Lytechinus pictus: one gene and its partners. The protein of the gene in region 3 interacts with the protein of the main gene of each other region in a biochemical or structural test. Links are inferred from orthologs where the notes say so. Each region holds a gene or a part of one and is shown on either strand. Other genes may lie near its edges.

Region 1 (7,635 bases), on a different chromosome or scaffold from region 3:
TCTGATCAGATTGATTACAATGATCCTCCTGATTGAATAATCCTCCAAGAGACCCTCCTTTGGTGAAATCAAACTTGCTCATGAATATGCAAATTAGCTAATGAATATTAATTGCAGTGCACATTCCGATCCCACAAAATCAACTTCTGTAGCTGAAACAATCGGGGTTTTTTGCCATTGGGTTTTGTAACATTTGCAAATGGAACAAAATTATCCCTATAAAACACCTACATCTTAAAACCCTACAGTTGACTTTCCATAAATTCATTTTAGAATTTGAATTGAAATATCACCATCAAATTAAATAACCAACCACTACCAAAAATCTAAATAGATTTTTTTAGACTTACTGGACACCCTTCCAGTCATAGAGATAAATCTGATTTGTTTTCTTTCAACACTCTCCAGCAGGACCTACTATTGAAGTCAATACCAATGTCCAATATGAATATAATGTAAAATTAAATAGATTCTTGACTGTCTATTATTTACTATTATCATATATTATTTTGTTTGGCGCCGCCACCTGTGCCAAGAAGGCAAAAATCAAACTGAATCACTATGACCATCGGATCTCTCTCCCGATATAACTGATAGCGGTTGTGCAGGTGGACCATTACACCAGTACTACATGTAGTCTTATAGTAGAGTGCAGTGGGTTCTTAACTAGCTGGTGACTCTCCTCTCCATGGGCCTTCATTAACATCCTATCCAAAGGACAGACATGTATGTACATGTAACTGTAAGCTGAATGTATCTCTTGAAACTAGTAGTCATATGAGGGATGGATCTTCATAGAGGATGAAGTCTAATCATATGATAGTTGTGAACAGTAACAACTTTTTTTTAACTTAACTCCTTAAATATATATATAACTTTAATCAATCTTTACTTCATAACATATTTTGACACCATAACAAACAAAATAAAACTCAGTATTTGCTTTTGCTTACACATTTTGGAGCTGTATGTATCTCTTGGAATCAGCCGTCATATCAGGGATAGATCCTCGTAGGGGGAGTGCTCCATTTCCTTCATTCTCAGTGAACTGTTTGACTGCCTGGGCTAAGATCCAGTAATTTGAACTCTACAAAAACAATGAAGAAAAAATAACTTCAATCTCAAATTGGAAGTTTAGGCTGTTTGGGAAATCTTCAACACTGTTCTACAGAATCCTATGTAAAAACCTGCTAAGATTTTGTGTAGCTTTTTATATAAAATAAAACTAACTTTGCAAAAGAGGTTTCAATTGTACCATGGACTATGCAGATTTCTTGTATTATTGCACATCATACAACAAAAAATGAAGCCCTCTTTGCAAAAAGGACAAATTTGGTTGGAGTCTTCTTTCACAGTGAAATAGGCGTTATGATATGCACAAAACATACATAGTCCATGAATTTGTACCATGGTACAAGTGAAACTACCTTTGTGAATACAGGCCATTATGCTTGGGAAACATTTAAATATTTGTACACCACAGTAATAGCTGAGTAACTAATTTGTGGTTTGACATCAAGAGACCTCATGCATATGACATGATAACCTTATAGCGCCCTCCTTTTATAGGAATAAAGGTAAACAATGTTGTCAGAGATGCGCCAGCTGGAGATCCCAAATGTTTGAAGGCAATAGCTTCAGCCTCTAATGGCAGCGCGATGACACTCAATGCATGAGGTCTTTGGGAGAATCAAGCAGTCCAACCTACCTCTGAAGTTAGACTAGTACAGGCAGGATCTGTCAGGATGTCCTGGACTTGGCTTGGGATCCTGGTCTTCGTCAGGGAAGCGTTGACAGCCTTGATGGCTTCATCAAAGTTCTCTTCCAGCTCAGGCACGCCATGTTCGTTGACCAGAATCCCTCGCCTGATCATTTCCTTGAAGGCAGATTTCTCTTTGTAGTTCTTGGGTATCTCACCGTCATGCTGTTCAACAAAACAAATATTATTTCACTTTATACTTCTGTTTTAGTATCTTTCTCAAACGAAAGAAGAGAGAGTTTGGGAAACACAACAGAAGGTAAAGGGGGGGAAAGAATGATAAAAATCAATCTGCATAGGCCTATGCTCAGTTTTCAGACAACTGTATTATTCTTACCGAAGCATAAAAATAATCAAATCCAATCATATCTTACCTCTTTTCTCCATTCCTCCAAGTAGTTGTGTAAAAGGATAAGGTAAGGCGTATGCATGTGGTCCTGTAATAATAAAATCAACAAAGGTCATGATTATTGCTACTACAGTTTGAATTTATGATTTTTACATTAGCCACAGCACCAAACCTGAAATGAGACTGTTGTTGGGCATTAAAGACCCTGACTGAACTTAAAAGTGATATTGACAAATTATACCCCTGTTTTACCGGATTTCCTACCCGAGACTGGTTTCCAAAAAGTTGACCTAAATTTTTGACCCCCTATTACACCGGAATCTTAACGAGCCTTTAGGCACCCCAAGACAGCTTTCTGTGCGTTTACACCAACTTACCAAAGCTGTCTGAGATAGGTTTGGCAGGGCACCAAGCACGCGCTGTGTTTGTTGTTTGGATAATCGTTCCACCTGTAGTGCATCAAGCAAACCTTTCTCAGACCAGTCTCGGGCAGATTTGCGTTTACACCGAATCCAAAGCAGTCTCAAAGGAGATCCTGTGTAACAGGGGTCTTAAACACTAATTGAAGCTTATAAACTTACAAAACACAGCAATTATTATAATCTAGGTTTATGCATTTTCACTGCTTGCCAATAGAGTATTTTGCTTAAGAATAGCTCTATCAGGTTTCGAAAATAAGCTTTATATATCGCTTTTCATCAACTGATTTTAAAGGCCTCTGATGTCGTTCTGTATCAGAATTGTCTTGATTCCAGAATTCCAAGAATCTAGACGATTAAATAGTGGCATTAAAATTATTTCTGGCACCTCTAAGCCTTTATGAGGCCATATCATACCTGTTTTGTCATAGAAGCAAGATCAAATGACCCGACAAACTCTTTAAAACTAGAGAATGGACGATCCAGTCTCAGGTCATCATGGGCATTGTCTGGATGAGACTCGATTACTGAAAGACATAAAAAGAGACTTATGATTTTTTTTAAATCCATGTTGGCTTTGTCAGCAATTCTTTTCCACTTTTAATAATAGGTAAAACTTGGTTCAGGGTGGGGCAAGTAAAGACATTTTGTTTGATCTCTGTAAATCTCATATATAACCACAAATGCCCAATCCTCATAGTATCTTTCTCCAAGTATGATACGCAGCATTGTCAATAATAAACAAATTTACATACAGTTGTGCTTCAGAGGATGGTTCAACAACAAAAAATCAAAATCAATTTCAAGTTTGTTGAATCACTAGCAGTGTCACCCATCACTTTAATAGCCTCTTCAATTATTATTTATGTTATTTAGTTTATAACTACTGTTATCCTTTCAGTCATTCACATTGACATTTTTACTCGCTCCCCATGTATTAAAGAAATATCAAATTGCTATTATTGCCTAATCACCAACCACCATAGTCCAGCCTCTCAATGAGTCAGCTAACAAGACTTAAAAGAACTATGGCTCATCCTACCAAGCCTAGTCACTTGAACTGAACATCTCCTTACCCCTTAAACCAGTGCATCTTGATAAGGCAGTAATAATAATAATAATGGTATTTTTAGATACCATTAGACACATTACTAGTCACTTGTCATCATCAAGTTATTCTTTCATAAACATATATGAACAAGTGGAATGCCTCTGGCCGTCTCACCTGCATCACGCGATTCAATATAGCAGCAGTGCTGATTTTGAAAACTACTATAACTCGCACAAGATGTTCAGTGATACTTGGTTACTCTTATTTCCACGTTTTATGAACTAGACCAATACACTTATAGAGATATGATGGCAATTCAACAAATACCCCCAACGTGGCCGAAGTTCTTTGACCTTACATGACCTTTGACCTTGATCATGTGACCTGAAACTCGCACAGGATGTTCAGTGATACTTGATTACTATTATGTCCAAGTTTAATGAACTAGACCAACACACTTTCAAATTTATGGCTGTAATTCAACAAATACCCCAATTTGGCCAAAGTTCATTGACCCTAAATGACCTTTGACCTTGATCATGTGACCTGAAACTTGCACAGGATGTTCAGTAATACTTGATTAACCTTATGTATAAGTTTCATGAACTAGGTCCATATATTTTCTAAGTTATGATGACATTTCAAAAACTTAACCTTAGGTTAAGATTTTGATGTTGATTCCCCCAACATGGTCTAAGTTCATTGACCCTAAATGACCTTTGACCTTGGTCATGTGACATGAAACTCAGGCAGGATGTTCAGTAATACTTGATTAACCTTATGGCCAAGTTTCATGAACTAGGTCCATATACTTTCTAAGTTATGCTGTCATTTCAAAAACTTAACCTCAGGTTAAGATTTGGTGTTGACGCCGCCGCCGCCGCCGCCGCCGTCGCCGTCGCCGCCGCCGCCGCCGTCGGAAAAGCGGCGCCTATAGTCTCACTCTGCTATGCAGGTGAGACAAAAATGGGGCCTCTTGTAAAGAGTTGCGATTGATTTGATCAATCACAACTATAGAAAGCCAGTAATGTCATCTAAAATACATACATGTTTGTTCAAAATATTTTCTAGAAATGATGTATATCCTTACATTCACTGTTTTCTGGACAATTCTGTTTATTCTGTTTGTTTGTGTTTCTGTTTATGGTATCCTCGTAGGAACTCTGCAGGACAGCATTTTTGCTGGTAAACGCCAAGCTTTCAGTATGCTTCTCTTTGTTTTCAAAGGACATTGAGCAAATATCCTACAGAAAAAATTATGACACTGATGGACTGAACAGATCAATTGTAACTCTTTGTACTTCATCTCATTTCATCTTGGCCCGAATTCACAAAGGTCGACTAAAGTTATACCGGGGTTAAATTTAGTCGGGGGTTAACTAATACCGGGGTATAAAGTTAGTCCACCGCGCTATTCACAAACGGTGGACTAACTAATCCATGGACTAACTTTAGCACCCGGTGCTAAATTTAACCCACGGCTGAGTTATACCCCGGTGATAACTTTAGTCCATGGATTAAATCATGGACTGAAGCTAGCATACTATTATAACACTGCACTGAGCATGCTCAGTGTAATAAAGCAGTACTGAGCATGCCCAGTGCCGTATTTGAGAGTTTCGTCTGCTAGGGCCATATGAAATGTCGCCATTGCATCACATGAGTTAGGAAGCAGAACTCAACCCCAAAATCATGTATCAGCAGCATGAACTTGAATTTCTTAGCAATGAGGTGTTGACAACGAACATTGTCATTACTTATCTGTTAATATTTACCAACTTAGGTTCGGACTAACGTTAGCGCTGCCTGCGTGCGAGCTAGCTCGACTGCGCCTGCAGCATCGTACCGTATCGAGAAGTTCAAACTCCGTCAATGTACGGTACCGTGTGGTAGGTGCACTGCAACGTGAAGAAGTTTTAACCTTTTTTAGACAGCTGCAGCAGCCGGCTTTTTCGGGGGGTTTTACACATTTTTTTTCAATTTCTTATTTCTCAATTGGTTAGTGGAGGCAACGGAGTCCAGCGGAACAATGACACAGACCAAAGTTTTTTTTTTTTTTTGCCTTTTTGGTCTAATATGAAGTCCAGATCGATCGCCATCGTATTTACAGTGCAGTTAGACGTGGATCTAGGCCTATAATAGCGTGCCGTAACTGCGTTTTAGGCCTGAGGAAGTTACTTAGATCTACGGAAAAATAAATCTAACGTTACACGCCAATTACATCTAGATCAAGTGCACATTTGTTTGAATTAAATCATAACCAATCTGATTGTATAATCCTACCTACCTTATCGAAGTCCGGTGGAACTTTGCCCGGAGCTAGCTTTGATAGAAAATGGAAATATGGAATTGAATCTTTGTTTGGGTTATGTACTTGGTAAATGGTGGGGCCAGCGTCGCGTGGGGTGAAGCGACATGACCTTGATCTGATCTCGCGTCCACAAGCGTGCCTCTTTTCCTTTCCCTCAGAATTGACTTTCCCATTCGAAGTAATATTTTCAATTCATTTTATTCTTGTCTTTTTATATGGTGTATCTCGATAAATTGATTTAAAAAAAAAAATTAAGCGAGCAAATTTTTTTTTAAATTGACATTAAAATCCTAGTTTGTGTTAGATTTTCACATAATATCAAAAAATATTCTATTTCACCCTCATTTCTTTTATCTTTTTCTTGGTCGTGTTTTTTTTTTTTTTTTTTTTTTTTTTTTTTTTGGGGGGGGGGGGGCAAGAGCCCCAAGGCCCCCCCTCCCTATTCTATACGTCAGTTCTACCAACATCTCTAAAAGGAGCTGAGATACTCATTGGTAGCTCCTCCACACTCACTGGTCACTCTTGCAATCGCATTATTCCCAACCTTAACCTATATACTCCAGTTTGCTTTGGAGGGGGGGGGGGGGTCAAGCTATTCACCATGCTTGCAGTATTTTTTTCCTTAAAGGAAACACAATTTCCTTATCAGAAAAATAAAGACTTATCAATCCTGGATAAGTGTAAAGGGTATTCCACCCAATCATAATAATATATTTGAAATTGGGGAAATATCAGTGGGCTAAATATGGCATATCAGGTAAAATAAAAACTTGCGAGCAAGGAAAAATATTAAAAATTTTAATATCAAATATCCAATTTTGTGATAGATTTGACATAATATTCAGAAAATAATGTGTTTCACCTTTCTTTCTTTTCTTGGTAATATTTTTTATTTTGTGTTTTTTTGGTGGGGGGGGGGACTTTTTTCCATGGTCAGTGGTCCATGGTCCGCCCTCTATACTTTCAAACTGAAGGGACTAAATTTCCTAAAATAAAATAACTTTTAAACAAAGATTTATGCTATAAATATAACACCACAGGCAATTCTCTCAGTGACACATGTAGCTACCTTTACTCCTTTCATTTCTCATTTGCTTCAATCACATGTACATTATTGTGCATCTTAACGTGCCAAATACTTTTCTCTCAATTAAGTTCTATTATAAATAATTTTGCATTATGCCTTACAACAAGTTTCTTGAAGTATATCCTCCTGCACAAGCAAGCAATCACTTGACTTTCTTCATACACAACCTTAACCAACATACCATTACCACCACCCCTGTCTTACACATAACCTTAATCTCTCCTTAGCACAATTTTTATCTGAAAGTAAATAAAATAAGACTTTCTTATATAAATTTATTTTTTGCCTCCTGCAAGAACGATGAACCATGCAGCATATGGACAGAATTGATAAAAGAATTTCATTTTTGTTTTCTCCTGACACAATTACTTGAAAACGATATAAAAGGACAAGTCCACCCCCACAAAGTTGATTTGAATAAAAAGAGAAAAACACAACGAGCGTAACACTTAAAATTTCATCAAAATCTGATGTAAAGATATTAAGTTATGACATTTTTAAAGTTTTGCTTGACTAGAAACTTATATGTACATCCCAGTCGGCATGCAAACTATTTCTTTTAATTCTACGAGATGAAATATTCAAATTTTCTCTTCATTGTCAAGTGAAACCAAGATTAGTCCCCCCCCCCCCGAACATGTGGACATCATTGACTGTCT
Region 2 (7,949 bases), on a different chromosome or scaffold from region 3:
AAGTTCTGGACTTCTCCATTCTTATCTTCCAACAACTTCAAGAGCATCCTCACCACCTGGATTTTTATGAGAAAAATTTGAAACAAATTATGAACTCAAACCTAGGGGAAAGGGGTTACAATATTCATAATGGGCAAATACACACGTCAATAACCAATCTTCATGCATCAGGCCTAACTTGTGTGTATGCTTTATGTTGATTAAAGAATAAGTAAGTACTGATAATCGTAAATTGAAAATAAAAACAATTGCACTAGGATTTCAAAAATCTACTGAAATTTGAAATCCACAATCTCTTTATGAACGCCTATCCCAGCTTGCTCCATGGGTAACAACACAAATAATAGTACTTAATGTTTATTGTGCCATGATGCCCATTGATAGCAATAAAGTATACCAATATCTTACATATCACAAAAATCATGTAAATTTCTTAACAAAATGGAAGTGTCAAATATAAATTAGGGATGTACAATAGGTGGTGCAAAACCTTAAATCACTTTCCATGAGAGCTTTTCATTGGAGCTAATATCTATCATGCATGTATACTTGAGTTTTATTTCCTATTATTGTAAATTCCCAAAGGGATTGCAGCCACCAACCATGGACATTTATGTGGTAGTTTACAGTACATTCAATTTCTTGGCCTTAGCTATGAACGTAATTTTGTTATCAATTCTCAACTGTCTTGGGGGGGGGGTGGGGGTAGAAACGTTCAACAAAAATTCTACCTCAAGCAAACATCATCCAAAAAATCATTAGTTTCAATGCAGGTTTTATTTTGATTTAGTTTTTCAAAAAAAATGATCACAATAATTCATTCTTACACAATTTACCGGTATCTTTTCTATTAAACACATAGGGGCTAAACCTATCAGGCCTATTGTGACACTTTGGCTGGCAGATCACCCTAAAACACTGTGTAAGTTTTTCCCTGTTGTAAATCATGCTGGGAAAATTACAGTACTTACCTTTTTCTCACTGTCATCATCAAGCTTGATGGAGTCTTTCTGAAGCTCAGTCATCAGATCATTAGTTGCCATAAACCGAAAATCCTTATCACTGGACGTCATCTGTATAGAAAATTAATATAATAATTTGTTGGGTTTTTTTTCAAATCCAAATATAACTATTAATTACCGGTACTAGATTGTGTGATGTGCAATAAAACATACCAAGACAGAAAATGATTCTTAAAAAGGGGGCTTTAGAAAAAAAAGGATAAACTGGGGAGAGAGTTATCAAGTTTTTTTAGCTGCATGAGGGACTATCCCATCAAGTAAATGAATCATGATCCTGCCATTCCCAAAAGCTACAACTGAAAGCCATCCCAGCAAATCACGTGGTCTACATGTATGTACATGTACCCAATAAAAAAATAACATACTTGGAAAAGGATTTGTAATGTAAATGGGAAAGATTGCAAAATATGAAAACATTACAATATTGAGACTTAATTAAATCAGGGCTGAAAACTTTGTCTCCTCAGAAAATAAAAATTCATCTACAGGTCAATTATATTCCTGACTTTTTAACCATTATTTTGTTTGAAGGCAAGTCCATCCAAATGACAAATAGTTTTCACTCAAACAAGCATAACAATGAAAATTTCATCAAAATCAGGTGTACATCAAAATGTTTTAATAGCACTTTTAACTTTTGCCTAGACTTCTACATCGCAAAACAATGTAGCTAACACAAGCACTATGCTAATGAGGGACCAACTCATATCACACTTATAATTTATTTCTTTCATGATATCAAATGGGATTTTAAACCTGTAATGGAAAAACAGGATTTGACTAAACTTTGAACATACATGTATGAAATTACCATTATTTCAACTTATTATGAATCAATCAAGAACCTCTTTACTGTATTTAAAAATTATATCTGACGAACCAGAAAGAAAATCTGGCAATGTTTACACCACCATTTTGGCTTTTGTTAAGGAAAGCTGTTGCGCATTACCAATGAGCCGATCATGAAGCAGGACAATCACAATACTGCATGGCTTCAATTGTCTAGCTGGCTTGCCAATCGGCCCTATGATTGCGCAACTTAACTTCATTCCATGACAAAATGTTGTGATGATTGGATAAGTGCTGGCTTGTGAAAACAAGATTGAATGTTAAATCTTGGCACATGTCAAATAAAGGGTGCATTAACATTTTAAATTATACCCTATCATGCAAACCCATCATTGATCTGGTCTGGAAGTACGTGACGTTCTTACTTTTAAAAATGCAATATATCAGGGGAAAAATTGAATATTTGAGAGAATTTGTGGATACTTTTATCTCATACGCATATTTGGGTAGACTATAAGTATAATTTTTTTTGGCAAAGTTGAAGTTTGAACACTGCTGATTAAATATTACCGATGGCGAACTAACGAGTTTGCATTTTACCTTTTTTGCATTGCCATTGCATGGATAGACTGGAACCCGGTTATTTTTTTCCTTCTTCTTCTTACATTATAGTATGTCCCTCTTGTAGAGTATTTCCATACTTGTCACAATTATAACTTTCTCTCTTTTTCAATTTTTATTTTTAAAAAATTCTTCAACGTGACAACAGATCATGGTCAATAAATGAATAACGGACAGATAGAATCATGAAATTGATGCAAGACTCTATAGTATAGTATAAATGGAAACTTTATTTTTTGTTGCTCTGTTTGTTTGAAATATTTGGAACCTTATACCAACGGTAACCCGATTATTCTTGGCCGCGCACACATTCACAAGAATCCCGAGGCTGAACTCCACCGACGCGACGCCGACAATAATTTGGCGGCGGAGCCGTGTTCCCTTACTAACTGCGCTGAGTTACATACGCCGTACGCAACGTGTGGGACTGAAATTGGGCAGTACCCGGCAAATTACGCTGCTCTGAACAATACACAAAATTTGTATCCATTACCTTCTCCAAGAGATTGGAGATGATGTAAGAGAAGCTTGCCATGGTTTCCTGATTTTCCTTAACCCAGATTGATGATGAACGTCTCAAAAGGTTATAGGTAAAGCAGAATAGTCCTAATAGAAGATGATCTGAGTTCACAAGATCAACATGGCACTGTCAACTCTTACGCGCATGCGCGAGAACGATCGAGCTGAACTTATTTTCGATTTCATTATCAGCAGAAGATGAAGATACATTATTTCCAAAATTATTATATTCTTTTATTTTTTTACTCCTCGATAAGTAAGTCCCACATGGCCCTACCCCTGTAACCCCGCTGAAGCACCCCAAGATTTTTCCGGGGGTGCTGCGTGTATTATTCTCCATAGGCAGCACCCCTGGAGGTCTGGTAGGTGTGAAAAAATTGATAAAAATGACCTTCATTTTATAGAGAACCCCTCTCCGTTGTGGGGGAGGGGGGCCTTGTGAAATTTCTCGGGACCAAAATGATCTTTAATTTTTAGTGAATCAAAAGCTGGTATCTTGCCTCTAATAATTCGAGATTCTTCATCGGTTACAGAGAATAATATTAATTTGTGTTTCAATCATCTATAAAAGTATAGCTTCATAACTATGAGCAATAGGCCTACTCGCTCGTTGAATTTTTTTTTCAGGGGGCTGTCAAAATATTAAGTCTATAAAAATTCAATACTTTCTAAGTTTCTCTGCAAGAAAAATAGACAAGCAAGGGGTCGCTCCAAAATTTTCATTTTTATCTCTATTCACATTTTGGGTGAAAACGTGAAATAAAGTTGAAGAAAGAAAAGGAACTGAGAAACAGAAAGAGAAAAGGACGAGAAACCAAAGGAGAGAAGGGAAATGAAACTAAGAAGAAGAACAGAAAAATAGAAGAAAACAAGAAAATGAAGGAGGAAGAATAAAAAAAAAAACATCAAAGGATAACGAAGGAAAAATGTCATTATCATTATTTTAGCGATTATCGATATCATAATTAAAACCATTGTACTTATCATCATTGATGCTATTGCTTATTTTTCATTATTGTGTTGTTTTTATTAATCCATCATCTAAGCAGAATAGTCACCATCAACATTAATACAACTTTTTTTTTATTAATTCCCTTTAACAATATTTTTGCCCTCAACTTTAGCTGTCCGGCTCTTAAAAACTGTATGCGTGAACAAATAAACTGTGTTATATGGCTTTCCACAATAATTATTGTAGGCCTATAATTTTACACTCTAAATTCCAAGGATTTAAAATAAATCCAGATCGGCTGTGAATAGTGACCAGCCAAATCTTTTTAAAATTCATTTGAATCTTAAGGATTAACTATTAAATCTCAAAAGATTTAGATTTAAATCTTTTAGATTTATATCTAAATCAACAAGGTTTAAATCTAAATCTAATATTCAGCTGGTCACTATTCACAGCCGATCTGGATTTATTTTAAATCCTTGGAATTTAGAGTGTATTATTTCTTACCTATATATACAACAGTCCTTTGCTCCTTGTGAAAAACTTGTTTCAATAATTTGATAGCAGCTTAATGCATTTCATAAAACGATTTTGTGTAAAATCTTGCCAAATTATTGAATTTCATAATCTTTCATATATTAGCAACAGGTCGCAAGGGCGTATAGGCTGGGGGTGCACTGAGTGCACCGTGCACTCTCCCGCTGAGACAGAGGAGTTCCGACACTGGCAAGCAAAATGAAATTTGGACCCCTTCTTCTGCTTTCAACAGCGGATTAGTTCCACCTCCCCAAGATGTTCACCTCCCGATGCTCAAACCAGGCTGTAGTATGTCCTTTGTGTTATTTTGTTTGATTACTGTATATGTTATGCTTCTTTTCATATGTGTTTATTTTTTTATTGTATATGGACCCCATGGAAGAACTGTATTGTCATGTTGACAAAACTGAATATGGGCTATACGTCAGTTTTGTATATATATATATATATATATATATATATATATATATATATATATATATATATATATTGTGTGAAAGAAATGGATGAAGAGAACAATGGTAGGCGTAGCTTAAATCAAGGTTCCCCAGAGCTCCTGGCTTAAAGCCGGGAAAACATTGCTATGTATAAAACATTGCTCTGGGGAACCTTGATTTAAGCTACGCCTACCATTGTTCTCTTCATCCATTTCTTTCACACAATATTTAAATAAAAGAGTTGCCAAAGCTGTAGTACATGTATAACTTCACACACATATATATATATATATATATATATATATATATATATATATACACGTTTATACGGAGAATAGCTTTACATGTACACTATAAACTTTACCATCATTATCACAATGGGCATAATTCTTTACATCTGAATTCCCCCTTAATTTGTCTAGGCAATCGCTCGCCAAACTTTACAATATTATTAACAACGTCTATTGGCGTGCAAATGCTACACTTTCAAACAGTGTCGTAATGAGCCCAAAGGCATTGAGGGGCTAGATATGGCGTATTGGGCAAAATTTATTTTTAATATTTTCAATTTAATAATAAATATCAAGTTTTGTGATATATTTTTACATAATTTTCAGAAAGTAATATCATATTTCACTCTTCTCTCTTTCCTTTTTTTTTCTTGGTCGTGATTTTTTTTTGGGGGGACAAGCATCCCAAGGGCCCCCATCTGTACGCCACTGCTGTCAAAACAAAATAATTAGGTGTATATGAGATTGCTACGCGCGTTCCGTATACCCAATGGTGATAACACAAAGCGGTCATTGACCTTTTCCTGTCTGGTGAGTGGTCATCTAATCCCTTCCGGTCGGATTTGAACTTCGACCACTAATTATTTATTCATGATGTCATGAGAGAAGACTTCCTTGAAATGACCCCCTGATGAGGAAGAGGCTTGAGAACACATTCCTAGAAAGCAAGGGGGATTCGAGAATCACCGTCATATTATTATGTTTTACTCTTTGATTTAAGATAAGAACCATTTACCACGCTGTGTACGTACGACTTGAAACCAAGAAAAGTCACAGCATCAATGACTGTTTTTCGAGCATTAAAAAAATTAATAGAAAAGTAGAGGCGGTAGCTACTTTTTACGAAAACATTTATGATTGTAGTATAATAGTAGTAGGCACTACTTGTATTAGTAGTAGTAGTAGCAGTAGTAGTAGTAGTAGTAGTAGTAGTAGTAGTAGTAGTAGTAGTAGTAGTAGTAGAAGTAGTAGTAGTAGTAGTAGTAGTAACAGTAGTAGTAGTAGTAGTAGTAGTAGTAGTAGTAGTAGAAGCAGCAGCAGCAGCAGCAGCAGCAGCAGCAGCAGTAGTAGTAGTAGTAGTAGGAGTAGTAGTAGTAGTAGTAGTAGTAGTAGTAGTAGTAGTAGTAGTAGTAGTAGTAGTAGTAGAAGCAGCAGCAATAGCAGCAGCAGCAGCAGCAGCAGCAGCAGCAGCAGTAGTAGTAGTAGTAGTAGTAGTAGTAGTAGTAGTAGTAGTAGTAGTAGTAGCAGTAGTAGCAGTAGTAGCAGTATAGTAGCAGTAGTCGCAGTAGTCGCAGTAGTAGTAGTAGTAGTAGAAGTAGCAGTAGCAGTAGTAGTAGTAGTAGTAGTAGTAGTAGTAGTAGTAGTAGTAGTAGTAGTAGTAGTAGTAGTAGGAGTAGGAGTAGTAGTAGTAGTAGTAGTAGTAGTAGTAGTAGTAGTAGTAGTAGTAGTAGTAGTAGTAGTAGTAGTAGTAGTAGTAGTAGTAGTAGTAGTATAGTAGCAATAGTAGTAATAGTAGTAGTAGTAGTAGAAGCAGCAGCAATAGCAGCAGCAGCAGCAGCAGCAGCAGCAGCAGTAGTAGTAGTAGTAGTAGTAGTAGTAGTAGTAGTAGTAGTAGTAGTAGTAGTAGTAGTAGTAGTAGTAGTAGTAGTATATAGTAGGCCTAATCATCTTGAAGTATATTGGAAATATAATAAAGGGAAGAGTAAGAAGAAGACTTGAAGAAAAACTTCCCGCTACTAATAATGCATGAATTTTCAGAAATGAAGGAAGCAGTTAATAGCTTAAAGGAGCAGAAGAAAGAGAGGAGGAGGCCCGGGAGGAGGAGGATAGAGAAAGCTGAACACGTATATTAATTAGCAGATCAAGGAATTTATATATCGTCTTCTGTTTGTCCATGAAATAAGCATCAAAACCCCTTGGCATATGGTAGTTCCAAAATAAACAATCATCTTCTATGCCAATTCTATAACTCAATTCTTTTTATCCGTTTGTCAACTAATGTTACTTTCAAGTCGCGTGCCTCCCTCTTGACCAATCAGCGTTCAAGTCGCCATTGTCTGGTCGCCCCACGAGATCAGACAGGGAGGCCTCATTAACAAGTCCCCGAAGAGTGGTGCCTTACTTATGACGTAATATAAAGAGAGTCAACCAAGCGAAACGTCAATGTGTATGATAGCATGCGATGCTCAATCCAGGCAAAGTTTAACTAACTTCTTCACTATTGTGTTCAGTCTTTTCATGTAAAAGACGTTTCGCAGGTTGGATTTTGACAGTTCCTGCAAATTTGACGGTTCATCATCGTCTCACGCCCAAATGAGATGATCGCACACACATCACGCCAGGGGAATTTCAGGAAAAGTGTTAACATTTAAGAGAGGTATTTCATCAGCGTTCACGCCTTGTCACTTCTTTGTTTATTCATGACTGCTAACCGAATTTTCGCACTCCAACTTTGTCCTAAAGGGATTGAATTTTATCACGTTTGCGCCTTTTGATTTGGCGCGATTTCTTTTTTTCGAGATTTTTTTGGGCTTCAGAAGATTATGATGGGAGATGAATTTCAGCATGCGGCTGCAGCAACAGACACGACTAACTTTCTAAAGACAGAACCAGAAGAAAATATTTGCGTTTCTGAAGATGAGAATCTTAATGGTGAATCAACAGATAATATCGTCGATAAATCAGCAGATTCCCAAAATAAAACGAAATTTGAATTATGCGAGATCAAGTCAAATCTAGAGAATTGTGATGAAAACAGACAGTCTGAGTCACTACAGAGGAA
Region 3 (7,450 bases):
AGCAGTCAATATTGTGATCGGCAATTCGGCATTAATTGTGTAAACTCAGAATAGGTTTTGGGGGCTAGTAAACGCAATCCAAAGTGTGCTTTCAACACCAACTCTGGACTTGAAATCCCCCCCTTTCAAAATTACCCCCTCGTGTGAAGGAACAAAATTGTTGTGCAACATACTGCCAAGGGGGATGTACATGTAAAGGCCACCGAACACGATCCGATTTCGGAACATATCGCATATTGCTAATTTTCTGAAAATGTGAATAGAACATATCATTTTATTTGAGGTTAAAATTAATTGAAAGAATACTAATATAGCCTAACCATTTTGTAAGATTGTAAGCCTTTATTTTAGAGTAAATGCCAAATTAGTTTCAAATCGTAGCCAATCGTACGACTGCTATGACGTCACTACGACTAGATATAAAATTTGCTTTTATTCTAAGAAGGATGTTAGCATAGTCACAGATTTGAACATAGGGATTCGTACGATGATTTCAAACATTACGCAGTAAGATATTCCAAGTCTCAATATAAGCATCAAATTCTACTACGTTTTATTCCAAAATTGAGTCGCAGACCAATCGCAAGGTGTGCGGTGGCCTTAACATAAAAAAATATGTCTGATATTTATAGTTGATAAACTTGTTTCTATGCAGTCAAAGAAACGATCATATATTTTAGCTAGAAAAAGAAGTTGCATGGAATGTTGGACTTGCATACTAAAAATATTGTGCGAGACTATAACAATTTTTTTTTTTTTGGGGGGGGCAATATGGGCATTTTGTCCAGGTTCAGAATACAGGCCTATGGGTAATTCCACCTGAATGTAACAAATTAACAAGTGAAGATCAATGCAGATGTGACCAGTTTTGATTTTTTCAAATGTGAGGAAGGTTTCCGATATAAGAATTGAATATAAACACTTACTTCATCTGGCTGTATGGCTAGTTTGAAAACAAGTAAATCATCAGGATCAGGGAAATCTATCTGACATGTCTTTGGTAGATTCAGCTCCCCAAGATCTGAGCATGACAGAGAAAAAAAAAACAAATAAGAAATATTACACCAACTTCACATTCTGTTTTTAAAACAAGATTATGTTCAAGCTTAATGAAAATAGTGGCCCGAATTTAAAAAGGTAGTTTAATCTAGTCTTGAGGACTCCATGATGATGTCTTTTTAAAATCCTTTGACATATACTTCTTCATCATTGGAGTCTTGAACCCCCGCCCATATATGTATATGAGACCCAGGTAAACAAAGATGGATTTCCCTAGGAAATCCATCTTTTCATAAAAGAATCACGTAAAATATGTTGATTTTATTCATTTCTACACCTTCCTACGCCTAATGCGAAGGAAGGTTTTAAAAAATGGTCCCTAAAAATGTAAAAAAAATGAAGGTTTCTTACCAGACTGATGTCGTGTAGATCCCTCGATCCACATGTACACAATGCAAATACAATAGCGTCGACCCTTGAACCGCTTATGTATGACGTACTTCCGATTAGCGAAGCCATTTTGAAGAACAATTTATAGATAAAAATTATCATTTCACAAATACTACAATTTAACACATGATTTATTTTTAATTAGCAGTATTGTTATTATTTATAATCACGTAATAAATTTTAGTATTTGTGAAATAATAATTTTTATCTATACATTGTTCTTCAAAACGGCATCGCTAGTCGGAAGTACGTCATCACGAAGCGATTCAAGGGTCAGGTCTATTGTCTTTGCTTTGTCGACAAATGGATCGAGGGATCTACGGGAGATCGGGTCTGGTAAGAAACGTCTCATTTTTACCATTTATAGTGAAATAATTTTTATCACTTTATATGCATTAGGCGCCTGAAGGTTCATAGATAAATACAATTCGACAATACAAACCGATCTCACCCTCTAACTGTGATTAATAATTTTGCAGGTAAGAAAGGTTCACCAATTCAATTGTTCTTAAAGTAGACCAAAAGCTTCGGTCTCTGTTATGTTGGTTGTTCAGCTGAACTCCGTTGGCTTCACTCACCAAATACAGAGACCGAAGTTCTAGCGCGATCTGTACAGGGGACTCAATGACCATATGTTTATGTGTATAAAGTTCGGATAAAACAGGGCAGTGAAGTTGCGCGACAGCCGAGGTAAGTCACTGTTTTTGTTCCTTTTAACTTGATTTTCCCCCTTTTTTGGCAATTAATGCCAAGAGGGAATATTAATTTGCATTTCGGTAGCGTTAATTTTCAAAAAATTGATTCATTAAAGACAAAAATTGAAGAGCCCCGACGGGGGGATTTTGCATTGTAAGTCCCCTGATGGTGGCTGCACGATAGCGAGCCGTCTGTGTATGAGGAGAAATTTAAAAAATAAAAAAATGTTAAAAAACTCCTCGAAACAGACGGCTGCCTGCTGTCTATTCTTAAACTTAAAGTTGCTCTTAACTTACATTTTACAAACAGCTTTAAGAAACTCTCACCTGGCCTTGGGCTGGATTTTTATTCTTTTTACTTTTAATTTTAGTTAAATATTTCCTCATTATTTTGAGAAATTTGACAATTTATTATACTTTATACTAGAGTAGACCCCTAATCAATAATAATGAACAGGTTTGTGAAATTCTGAATCATTGATTGACATGGCATTCCAATGTTATATCATATTCATAATCATCAATTTAGATTTACTTTATTTCAATTTCAGAAGGTATTTCTTTTTGACGGTTCAGTATGTCATAAAAACATTCAAGCGAAGACAGAACAGCAAAGCGATGGACATTCAATTCAGCTGATCACGCACTCATTTCATTTCATTCATTCAATTCGACATCACCTTTCTGCAGTCGCAGCTGTGCAGCGGACGCTCTCTTCCCGTCTCCGTCCGACCGATCTGCGGCAGCTTCGGCCTGCTTTTTCAAGGAAAACAATTTAATCATCGTGCATTCCAGTAACACTTTCTCGTTGGCATCAACTCCTTCTTTTAAAAATTCAAGGTCTCTATCTGCTCCAATCTGCTATTCGTGAAAAAACATTGTCCGATTTCGCAGTCATCACCTTAGTTCCGCCTATTGTGTATCATGTATTGTGCAAGCTGCACGGAAGAAAATGTGTGTGCGTTTACAAAGGTCAAAGTTCACTATAAGCACAGTGCGCGCAAATACAACCCGCATCGGGATGACCTTAGATGACCTCAGGGCGGGGTTGCCGAATATTTGGGTTATTCTCTTTTTACCTTTTATAGCTGACTGTGGCAGTCCTATAGCTCTCGATTAGTACGACAATACACCAGACGGTGGACTGCACTGTTTCCAGAAGAAGAAGAAGATTAATCCGACGTCCGAGCTGCATGCATGGCCAATGCATGCAGCGTTTAACATTAATTTTTGTCTGACAATATAATCATGATAATTGTCAGATCTGACAAATTCCTTGATTTTGATTGGCTGAGAACAGGACTTGTCGGATAAAACATCAGACAAGTCCTTTAATGAAACGTATATCACTGCGACTGACTTCTGTTTAGTGGGGTAATGAGCCAGATCCGTTTTTGTCAATTTTGTTAGGATACTTAATTGTTGCCCCCCAGTTAGAAATTACCATACAAAAAAAAACCAAGCCGAATTTTTTAATAGGCCTCTCCGATTTTGAGATTGAGGATGGTGGCTGAGCCGAAGTTGGGGGGGGGGGGGGTGGTGCATGGGGGACCGGGCATAAAACTCATAATCTTATTAATTGTCGCTGCCCCTCCCTTACAAAAAATTCCTGCAGTACTTTAGTGGTACTCTGTTGTACCTGTGTGATACTTCTGTCATACACGACGGTACCTCAGAATTACCACAGGACTTCTGTGGTATCACTCTGTGATAGTTCTGTCATACTTCTGTGGTACAGGAAAATATGAAAATTTCCTGCAATACCTTAATGGTACTCTGTCGTACCTGTGTGATACTTCTGTTGTACAAAACTGTATATAGAATTACAACAGGACTTCTGTGGTATCACTCTGTGATAGTTCTGTCATACTTCTGTGGTACAGGAAAATATGAAAATTTCATGCAATACCTTAATGGTACTCTGTCGTACCTGTGTGATACTGCTGTTGTACAAAACTGTATATAGAATTACAACAGGACTTCTGTGGTATCACTCTGTGATAGTTCTGTCATACTTCTGTGGTACATAAAAATATGAAAATTTCATGCAATACCTTAATGGTACTCTGTCGTACCTGTGTGATACTTCTGTTGTACAAAACTGTATAAGGAATTACTACAGGACTCCTGTGGTATCACTCTGTGATAGTTCTACTTCTGTACGTAAAAATATGAAAATTTCATGCAATACCTTAATGGTACTCTGTCGTACCTGTGTAATACTTCTGTTGTACATAACTGTATACAATATCACTCTGTGATAGTTATGTCGTACTTCTGTTGTACATGAAAATTCTAAAATATCCTGCAGTACTTCTATGACAACCCTGCGATACTTCTGTTGTATATGAACATTTTTTAAATTTCCTGCAGTACTCCTATTACTAAGCACTTCTATGGAAACCCTGTGATACTTCTGTGGTACATGAACATTTTGAAATTTCCTGCAGTACTCGATCCTATTAAAGACACTTCTATGAAAACCCTGTGATACTTCTGTGGTAAATGAAAATTTTGAAATTTCCTGCAGGACTCAATATAGGCACTTCTAAAATTCTATGGCAACCCCAGTGCTATACTTTCAAAATTTCCTGCGGTACTTCTCATGCAGCCACCCCAGAAATATGACTGAAAGTGTATCACAGACGCTATACTGGTGTATTTTCTGTGGTACAGTACATGAAAAAATTAGTTTCCTTCAGTACTTGTATGGAAGCCCTGTTTGTACCACAGACTAATTTTTTTATTTCCAGTGAGGGATTTATCTTTTTTTTCAGTTTCGGGAGAGGTCAGTAGCGTATTGAGTCTTATATTTTTAGAAGGCCATATGGCTTAAAAGGGCACCATTCATTTTAAAAAGTACAATTTTTTATATGAAAATTTAATTTTGTGATAGCTAGATTGTGACATATAGGCCCTATTTCAAAATTATATTTCACCCTGTCCCATTGTGTAGGTCTATATCAGCGAGGGGGGGGGGGGTTATGCCTACTGAGACTCAGAGGTTTTAAGTTTGATAGCTTCTATTTCTACGAGAAAGGGTACTATACGTACTAGATCAAAACTAGGAGCAAAGCGCGAACTGAAAAATGCGAAAAATTATTGACCCCAAAATGGGCAACTTATATTTTGAGGACTATTGTTCGTTTTCAGGGTTATTTCTTTTTCATGCGCTCTTTTAAATTTCAATTATCATTTTTGTTTTGTTTGTTCGCCACTTATTTTTCATAAAAAACAGGATGAATAATAAAAAAATGACTATATTTAAAAGGGTACGTGTTGAAATATACAGGACACACCTAACACTCTTAGAGCTTAATGGTTGTGAGGAAGCCGGGTTGAATTTCAAAGAGATATTGTAATGAATAAAAATATAAGCATGAACGTATTATTCTACTTCATCCATCTCTTTCTAACAATACAAGAAAATAATTGAAGGGGAGGTCAACGCTAGAGATAATCAATAAATAGAGTAAAATTCACAAAACAAAATGCTTAAAATTTATTCAAAATCGGATGACAAATAACGAAGTTAAGTTGAATTTTAAGGATTTGCAATATTCCCATGAAACAGTTTTATTTAGGCATGTCTCATGAATATTCATTAGGTGGGCTGATGATGTCATATCCCATGTTCTTTTGTACAATATATGAAATTAGATTTATTCAACATATTTCTACCAAGAACTTAAACAATTGGAATGACGACTAATTAACCGCATTAGTTATTTAATGCAGCAACTTTACAATGGGGACACATTATTTACACATGTATTGAAAAAATAGATAATCATAATTTCATATCTAACATTAAAAAAGAAAAATGGGAATGTCACATCATCAGCCCACCAAATGAATATTCATGACGATGTGCACACTATCTGTTTTCACAAAATATTGATAAACAATTAACATAAGAAAGTTCAGCGTTGAATGTTGATTAAAAAATAAATCTCAGTTAAAATGCTATCTAAGATTTTGTTTTACACGTTTCATAACCAAGTTTTAATGCGATTCTGGCCCCTTAAAGTTTTTATTGCGAGAAAATACATTTTTCCAAGTTTCCCATCTATTTTTTTATTTTATTTTTTTTGTAAAAAGGACCTATTTTCTTACAAATATATTATTATAAATAAAATTACTTCAATATTTGTTCTCCTATTCACAATATTTTTTACAGGTGGAATAGGATAAACTAAAAATAGGATATTTAATTTCCATTTTAAGGCCCATTTTTTGCTTTATATCCCCGGTTTATATCTTTGCCACCTTGCAATATGTTAGCCAGGCTGGTTTATATCTATTTCTTTTTAAATCAAATAAATTTGGATATTTTCAATCTATTTTTATGATGCGAAGCTATATATAGTTTGTAAATATGTTTTTTAATTGCAAGAACAATCTTGTATCTCTGTTCACATATGATGGCAGTTTATTTTGCTTCTTTTTTTCTAATTTGTATGAAGTTTGTATCTATATATTTTCAAACTATTTTCCATCCTTAAAGTGTCACAACCGATATCATATTATTTTTTACCTCGTTGGCAAAGTTATTATCTTTTCTTATGTTTCGCTTCAAAATGGTATCTTTATATTTGCTTGTCTTGCTCCTCCACCCCTTATCAAAATACCCTGCCGGCACTTGATCTAAGATTATTTTCTTTTACTACTTGAACCTTATAAAGGGATCTTTCCTTCGATCGCAAGAAAGGATAAAATGTGTGTTTTTGAAAAGAAATAAAATTAAAAATACATAGGATTGGAGCTGTGATTTTCCTCATTGCTTTCTTTGTCATCCTACTTGCATACTAGTAGGCCTATATAACATATTTTCAGTAAAATTGTGAGACATGTTTTTAAATCCTATCCATATTAAAAAAAAGAATAAAGAGAAAGAAAAAAATTAAAAGACATAGAAAAGAAAAAGAAAGGAAGAAGAAATAAATATTTGAATTTTACTTTATTCAATTCCTTTACGTTAATAATATGATATATAAATGATGGCGAAAATAGTCAAATTGTCTGGTTGCCAAGTAAAAAGTAAGACCCCCCCCCCCCCCCCCCCTCCGAGCTCCCCGTACAAACGCGCGCACGGACTGTACCGTATACGTGTTTCCGGTTCCGCCATTTGAAAAAAAACGTTCGTAACTGCTCAGCTGAACCCGAAGCTTGATGAAGAAGGCCGTCAATATTTCAACAAAAACTAACAGAATATGGATCAGATTCGGACAACGACTTCTTAAGACATTCACACAACAGGCTAAACAGTAAGTTAGATCCATTTTTCGTAGTTTGGCGCGGCATGC

The links. The genes of interacting proteins can lie anywhere in the genome.
Region 1: of the proteins of NEDD8-conjugating enzyme Ubc12-like (region 3) and NEDD8-activating enzyme E1 regulatory subunit-like, one has a biochemical effect on the other in vitro, tested with the Homo sapiens proteins (4 studies listed by BioGRID, with this or other methods). The link is inferred for Lytechinus pictus from reciprocal best matches to the Homo sapiens genes UBE2M and NAE1.
Region 2: the proteins of NEDD8-conjugating enzyme Ubc12-like (region 3) and cullin-associated NEDD8-dissociated protein 1-like form a complex in vitro, tested with the Homo sapiens proteins (2 studies listed by BioGRID). The link is inferred for Lytechinus pictus from reciprocal best matches to the Homo sapiens genes UBE2M and CAND1.

The regions. Positions count from the first base shown.
Region 1 is NC_087246.1:57,534,601-57,542,235, forward strand, and holds the start of NEDD8-activating enzyme E1 regulatory subunit-like, read right to left. Parts: upstream 3,113-7,635; 5' UTR 3,098-3,112; coding exon 2,945-3,097; intron 2,197-2,944; coding exon 2,134-2,196; intron 1,925-2,133; coding exon 1,709-1,924; intron 1,088-1,708; coding exon 954-1,087; intron 1-953. UniProt on the Homo sapiens protein: Regulatory subunit of the dimeric UBA3-NAE1 E1 enzyme. E1 activates NEDD8 by first adenylating its C-terminal glycine residue with ATP, thereafter linking this residue to the side chain of the catalytic cysteine, yielding a NEDD8-UBA3 thioester and free AMP.
Region 2 is NC_087245.1:25,057,938-25,065,886, forward strand, and holds the start of cullin-associated NEDD8-dissociated protein 1-like, read right to left. Parts: upstream 3,113-7,949; 5' UTR 2,968-3,112; coding exon 2,926-2,967; intron 1,074-2,925; coding exon 972-1,073; intron 57-971; coding exon 1-56. Other genes in the region: T-box protein 1-like, read left to right, coding at 7,711-7,949. UniProt on the Homo sapiens protein: Key assembly factor of SCF (SKP1-CUL1-F-box protein) E3 ubiquitin ligase complexes that promotes the exchange of the substrate-recognition F-box subunit in SCF complexes, thereby playing a key role in the cellular repertoire of SCF complexes.
Region 3 is NC_087253.1:11,989,321-11,996,770, reverse strand, and holds the start of NEDD8-conjugating enzyme Ubc12-like, read right to left. Parts: upstream 3,132-7,450; 5' UTR 2,928-3,131; coding exon 2,825-2,927; intron 1,022-2,824; coding exon 927-1,021; intron 1-926.